Bombyx mori: one gene and its partner. The protein of the gene in region 2 purifies or fractionates together with the protein of the main gene of each other region. This does not show direct contact. Links are inferred from orthologs where the notes say so. Each region holds a gene or a part of one and is shown on either strand. Other genes may lie near its edges.

Region 1 (3,759 bases), on a different chromosome or scaffold from region 2:
TCAATACTTATTAATATTTTATGAACAAATATGAATATAGAAGGGTTATTTTGATAATATCCTGAAAAGCACCCCACGCTTTTTTTACAATAAAATCATTTTTTCTTACACTATTTTTAACTCAAATTTATTAAAATTTCTTTTCTGTTTTTTAGTTGATTTTTCTATAAAAGCTTATTTTATTCGTTTTTTTAAACTATTATTTATTTAGATGTTTAGCTCTATCGAGATGTACTTGTTAGTTCTATGGTAGTCCATGGTATTCAGAACATCTTCTGCCACAGCAACACACACATATTGGTATTTCTCAGTCGCATGCATTCTTGGCAGAGTGGTCGTGGTCATCACTTCGGGTGGTGGTGCGCTTCACCAGACTTGATTGGTATACTTCAATGTTATTTTCTATCCATCTACAATTTACTATTCTATGTTTTTTTATGAGGTTGACGCTCTTAAATCTACAATGGGAACGTCTCGGTCGTTTTCAATTGTGGCCAATTTATACACGATTAGCTTCTGACAAAGGCTACATACGTTCAGATAAGATGAAAAATTGACGTTTATAAAATAAGCAGTGATAATGTTGAACTTCAAATTCGAAATGTTAGGCATGAGGAATTTAACTTTAAAAAATTCTCAGTTATCATGAAATGAAAGCAATTTTTTCTTTCAGATTTCCAAATATTTTTAATAGATTCAGAAATTGAAAAATATATGTTTGTTATATTTATTTATGGCAATATTCAAGCATTTACATATTCTACTAGAAAGTACTAGGGGAAACTAGAGGTTATCATCGTTTGTCTCATAGAGAAAACTGGAATATTTTCTTAGTCTTTAATTCTTAATTATGACAGTCAAAAATTAAATAATAATAATAATTATTATTATTTATTTATTTCTCTCTTAAAGGTATAGTACAAATACAAATGGAAATTAACCTTGTAATTTATTTTGTAAGCCTAAATCAAATGAAATTTTTATTATTTTAGTTTCAATAAGGGCAAAATATAGACGAAGACACAAACAGAATAGACACCGTTCAGAGATGTCAATTTACAAAGAATTTCCAGTTAATTGTCTTGAACATATAGACACAATGGTAATACCAAATTTAATGGTCAGAATTTTTACGGTATAAGATTTAAACAAAGATTATATTTTAGAACACAAGTATCATACCCGATGCTTAATCATATGACGAAAATAACTCATCAGGAAGTTGAATAGTTAATGCGGACGCTACAGACCAAAATAGAAGTGGTAGAATTACTCTAAAAGTTCAGGTTTTTTCAAGACCGCCTCCAATGACAAATGTTTCATGAAACCAGTCCAGCTTTTTATAAGCATGTAAAAAGCGATATGCTTTTTTTTAATCCTCACATTCGACAAGAATGTGTACTAGGAAGCTATATAAGTGAAGAGGTTGAATCTTTAGCTACAGTTGACTAAATTAAAATGTAATTAAGCCAATACAGAATAACCAGTCAGTAGGAACAATGGAATTATTTGTTTGTTATATTATTATTTATTAAAATGGCTATTATGTTTTATGAAAATTGAATTGAAATATTTTTGTAAATATATTCATGTGAAGACACTTTTCTTACAATTTCGTCACAGTTGTTAAACAATGCATAATGTTTAGTTTAATTTTAGGTAGACAATTATTATTAATACCCAGGTTTTGGATTTTAATTTTTAAATTGAAAGTCACTGGTTGTCTTGAGAAAATTACATTACTAATAATTACCAATTTGTTATGTTTTAGAAAAGGATGATTTTAATATATCAATCACACTTTTGGTTTTTTTTTCTGAGGAAACTTTCTCATTCCGAAAGTGCAAGTACCAGGCAGCCATATAAGTGAAGAGGTACCTACGCATTTTTAGTTACGGTAAAAGCTGACTAAATAGGAATATGATTAAGCCATATCTTTTTCATTAGGATTATGGTATTTTCATATAGCCGGTTAACATCAGACGAATCACGTACGCAGATTGTGACGCACTATCGCGTGTTTTCGATTTTGCTGACCTCGACAGTTCAACAGGCTATATGACGCCATTTCGCGAAATCAAAACAACAGCTGTTAGAAAAAAAAACAAAAGCAAACTCCCAAAAATTGCGTTTTATGTAATAAATGAGACGTAAAAGAAACCTGTTTGTAAAGTTGGACGCCACATACTCAATGTTTATTTACAACACTCACCGCTCAAGTCTTCGATTGTGTTCAGTTTTCTCGACGCCATCGCGCGGAAATAAGTCGTGGTACTAGAAAATTACTTATAAACGTATTTTTAATAATATACGCTGTGTTCAACCGGGCTTCTTCGCTTTTAAAATGCGAAAACAAAGAAAGAACGGACTGAATCAACACCGAATGCAACCTTCTTTGTTTGTGTTTTGTGTTGTTTTGATTGGAACTGACAGTTGTGGATAGTGTGGCATAATCAGTTCAGATACGATATGCGATATGATTAAATTTGTTAATCGATTAAAGTTCGATTTCAGACGCCTTAACAGATTTTATTTCAAAATTGTGCAATTTAAAAAAATGTTGTTTTTCGAATGATTTCATTTTCATTTGTATATAATATGTTGAACCTAATAAATTTAATGTCTTCGATTTTTTCAGTATTATCGATTATTATTTTTCCTATCTATTCCAGTAACCTGGAGGGGTCATACCATATTCATCTGGCGAGTTAGGTGAGCTCGCGGTGCTTTAACCTGGCGAATTTGCTAACACTAGCCCTAGCAAGAGCAGTGCTTCACAAAATCTACCACTGGATCGGAAACGCGATCCACTGAGAACTGAGAGAATAATTGGCGGTAGGACCTCTTGTGAGTCCGTGTGAGTAGGTACCGCCACCCTGCCTATTTCTGCCTTAAAGCAGTACTGCGTTTTGGTTTAAAGGGTGGGGCAGCTGCTGTAACTGTAACATACTTGAGACTTTAGAACTTATATCTCAAGGTGGGTGGCGCATTTACGTTGTAGATGTCTATGGGCTCCAGTAACCACTTAACACCAGGTGGGCTGTGAGCTCGTCCCCCCATCTAAGCTATCTCAAGGTGGGTGGCGCATTTACGTTGTAGATGTCTATGGGCTCCAGTAACCACTTAACACCAGGTGGGCTGTGAGCTCGTCCCCCATCTAAGCAATAAAAAAAAAAGTTGGCGTGAAACTCAGTGCGCTGGAATTTTGATCTTAAAGTTGTAAAAACAGGAGGTAAATCATGATAAGATAAATTTTTTTTTCATTTATCCTTACACTTCTATATTTACAAAATGAAATAAATAACTTTTAATCCAGAAGTGAAACCTACCCAGAAATAGTTTCCAAGTTAATCTTATTGTTTTATTGTTTTGTTTTACTATCTACCGTGTTTAGTCTAATAAAAACGGGGACAATGTAATAAATAAAAATACCGAAGAATTCCTTATTTAATGTGCTCTGAACTTTAAGCGCTTACAGCTGTCGATCAAGGCTGGTTTGAATGGTTACTTCGAGATAGAACAGCAGAGAGCGAGAGCGCGTATCCGTTTCTCGTAATGAATTAAGTCATAGTGTAACTATGTGTCATTGGTGACCTTAATCTTTAAGGATAATTAGATTTTGTCATCAACAAAGTATAAATATGTTAAGTCAATCGAGAAATTTTATGCCTTGATTCAAGAAAAAAAATCGCGTGGTAGCTGCGATGGTGTGAAAAAATATCAAATAATAGTAATAATTAAAGACAAGTTAAATATATA
Region 2 (3,759 bases):
AAGGATCCGGAGTTTCTTTGGGCACATAATGCGATCCTCATTGCACAGCCTGGAGAAACTCACAATTCTCGGACAGATGGAGGGGAAGCGCGCTAGAGGAAGAGCGCCAGCTAGATGGGTTGACCAACTCAAGGAGGTGACTGGAGGCCAGATATGGGGAGCGGTACATATGGCGCAGAACCGGACCGAGTGGAGAAGATTGACATACAGTCACGATCCTCAGCATTGAGGGAACGAATAGAAAATATGAGCCAGTAAGAATATCTAGAAATTGTATTCCTAGTACACCCACGAATAGTTTCATCAATGTCGCCCTCTAAAAGATTTCAGATTATTATTCAATGTGGTCAATTCGTGCAACTACTGGTTTTATTAATTTCAATATTGCTAATTCTCACGATTATCAAATTTGTATGTGGTATATCGCGTTTTTATTGATATAGGAGTCATGATATAAAACCCATAATATTCAATAGCAGTTTACAATTATTTAATTATGATTGAAGTTTCTCATTTAATCATTGTTCATACATACCTACAAAGTCTTGACTTGTTATAGTGCTTGCATTCTGTGGCATGTAGTCTTCTTGTGCTGATGGAGCTTCATCCCACCAGGTGCCATAAGTCCTCTAGAATGTTTATGCTGAATTAGGTATTTTGAAATTTTTACACACTAAGTATATTTTTCATAATGTTATGTCTAAAGTAAGCAGAATCATATTAAGTCCCATTCAAAACTAATTTAAATGCATTATGCTATAGATCACAGGTTGTGAATGACTTAGAAACATACTCTCACACTGCGTAGGATGATTGAGTGTAAACAGAAAAAGGTTCATAATAGGATATTGCAGCTTACTTAAATAACAAGCTTGTCTTTCAGCCCATTCAATAAACAAAAGCATTTACAAGACCACCCCCTAAAATAAATCCTACCATGTTGAGTTATGACTCTATGGAACAAGTTTCTAGAAAAAGTTACTAAGACACCAACACTAAACTTTTTCAAGAATCAATTGGACAAATTTCAAATATCTAATCATTAAATCAAAGGCCTTAGCCAAAATGGCTAGCTTTTCTTTAAAAATTAAAATTTCTTATATAGGCAAAGGAAAACAGTTTATTAAGTTTACCTATGACTTTTGTATATTTAATTAATTTATTTAGAAACTATTGATGACTTTAGTGTCATCAATAAAATATATTGGAAACAGTTCTATTTTTCTTGCTTCAAACAAAAAATAGCCAGTAAAAAATGATTAGATTGTACTCTTATACCCACCTATGTAAAGCTCACCCTCTTTAAGAACAGTTAGCTGGTATATAATTCAATTGTTGAGTTAAGCTCGCCATTTTATAACTTTTTGCAATTATTTTATTGTATTAACTGTGTGTACAATACAGAATAAAGAAAAGAAAAACACAAAAAGAAAATGTTAGATATAAATTGAATCAAGTCTTGAGTTGTCATTTATTAAGATTTTTTTTTTTAATTGTTTAGATGGATGGACGAGCTCACAGCCCACCTGGTGTTAAGTGGTTACTGGAGCCCATAGACATCTACAATATAAATGCGCCACCCACCTTCAGATATAAGTTCCAAGGTCTCGGTAAAGATACAACGGCTGCCCCATCCTTCAAACCGAAACGCATTACTGCTTCACGGCAGAAATAGGCAGGGTGGTGGTACCTACCCGTGCGGACTCACAAGAGGTCCTACCACCAGTGTGGTATTTTGACCACCAATTAATATTAATTATTTCATGTCATATGTACCAATTTTTAGAATTGCATTGTTACTTTATGTGGTACAAGTTCACCAGTTTCTTGCAGAAAAACAAATGCGATTAATATGTTTTTTTTTTTTTTTCTGTAGATAAGTAAGTAAATTTACAAGTCGAAAATATTTAACTTTTAAAATGTCTCAGGATTCCAAATTATATGGCCATTTTCAACCACAGAGTGGAATTTAAATATTCTAATTTTGAGCAGCTAGTTCAAAAACATTTCCTCCAACCTATAAAATTAATTATTGGCTACCCCATTTTATTTTACGAATTTATGAAAAGTTAAGGTATACTAGTGCATAAGTTTATGGGCTTAAGGCAACATAATTTAAATTTAAATTGAGATTGAAAATTATTACTAGTAATTTTGTAATAAATTTACCATAACGAAGGCTTGAGGGTAATCTCCGTAGTCAGGAAAATTGGATGGTGGACCCCGGAGGTTGAAAGCTGTATATGAAACACTGATTTCACTTCCGTACTGAGAGCTAAAGTCTTCAACATTTTGCACAAATTGCTCTACAATTTGTTGTTCTGGGTCTTCTTCAATATCACTATTGTCTTTAAGCCAAAACAACGATGATATTACATCAGACGCACTCTGCATTTTCACTATTTTAATTAACGCAATTTACGGACAAAATATTAAGAACGATACAGTACACTGAACGACAGTCAACACAACAATGTTTTGATTTTTTATTTTGGTTTCTGTTTTGACGTTGACAATGGAAAAATTTTCACAGATCCAAAACAAAATCCACGGTAGTTAACTTTCTGTCAAATGATTCACTGTCATTATACATTGAAATCAAGCAATTTTTTTTCAAATTATGTACTAACGTACCTACTACATACATAATAATATTAAATAGTATTTTTTCTCGCTACTCTTTGGTATTTCTTTGTCAACCTACCTACTCAAAAGAAATAGATCTACATTTTTAAACGTAAGCATCATACTTCTACTAATCTCTGGTCAGCATACCTTTAAAATAATCTGTTTTTCATACAAGCATGGTCGCAAAAAGATACATTTGTATTATTTTAAGAAGTATTATGGTAAATAAGGATTTATTTTTAGTATGACGTCAGAGGCTGCGGTTGTAATGCTGGTTCGTTAGAGAGTGAATCAAAATGAACAAAGGAATAAATGTGGATCATACAACAAAATCGTTAGAATCCCAGGAATTTAAAAAACAAACACACTTTCACAAAATACCCCTAAAGGCTCAAAATGATCCATAATATCGCGGCTATTGCCGTTTATGGATATATTTAAATTCCAGTATTTGATACTTTAGAGTACGTATTTAATTTGAAAAAATTTTGAATATCAGTTTATTCTCATACATTTTTAGTAACATTATTGTACAGAAATCACAATTCAACTGTTGGTAATAATGTTTAATCAACTCAAATGCTCGGTTTTATTCCCCAACTATTAACTTTTCACACTTTTTCCCATATTTTATACTTTAGTGGAGCAATATTTATAATTTCCGAATTAATTTACCTTTTCTGAGAAGTATTGTTTAAAACTAATAGATTTTACAATTTCTTAAACACAAGCGATGTTATGTGTAGTGTACACGACCCGGTCTGTATGGCTGTTTCCGAGTCGTGTAATAATATTTTCTGCTGTCTGTTTGTGCGCTGGTAGAAGACTGCTGTTTCTTTCGATGGGTTTCGGCTTCTGTAGCGAGGTTTCACAGATAACTGTCTGGTTCACTGGTGGTAACTGTACTATCGGAGAACTGCTGGTAACTGTTTCTGTCTTGCTGATGTTTCTTTGTCGGAGAGCTTCTGAGAACTGTTTCTGTCTTGATGATCTGCTGAGAACTGTTTCTGTCTTGATGGTCTGTTGAGAACTGTTTCTGTCGAAGATCCACTGAGGACTGTTTTTGCCTATAAATGGCCATCCTTTTATATTTATTTCAGTACCCCATCTCGCGACGCGCTATCGACGCGT

Evidence for each region. Proteins that work in one complex are often made in the same cells at the same time.
Region 1: the proteins of F-box/LRR-repeat protein 4 (region 2) and BCL2/adenovirus E1B 19 kDa protein-interacting protein 3 purify together in Homo sapiens (affinity purification with western blotting; 4 studies listed by BioGRID, with this or other methods). This does not show direct contact. The link is inferred for Bombyx mori from reciprocal best matches to the Homo sapiens genes FBXL4 and BNIP3.

What each region holds. Positions count from the first base shown.
Region 1 is NC_085117.1:571,599-575,357, reverse strand, and holds the start of BCL2/adenovirus E1B 19 kDa protein-interacting protein 3, read right to left. Parts: upstream 2,635-3,759; 5' UTR 2,253-2,634; coding exon 2,213-2,252; exon of another isoform or gene 374-2,212; intron 301-373; exon of another isoform or gene 156-300; intron 1-155. UniProt on the Homo sapiens protein: Apoptosis-inducing protein that can overcome BCL2 suppression. May play a role in repartitioning calcium between the two major intracellular calcium stores in association with BCL2.
Region 2 is NC_085114.1:5,910,973-5,914,731, forward strand, and holds the start of F-box/LRR-repeat protein 4, read right to left. Parts: upstream 2,515-3,759; 5' UTR 2,395-2,514; coding exon 2,170-2,394; intron 630-2,169; coding exon 536-629; intron 1-535. UniProt on the Homo sapiens protein: Substrate-recognition component of the mitochondria-localized SCF-FBXL4 ubiquitin E3 ligase complex that plays a role in the restriction of mitophagy by controlling the degradation of BNIP3 and NIX mitophagy receptors.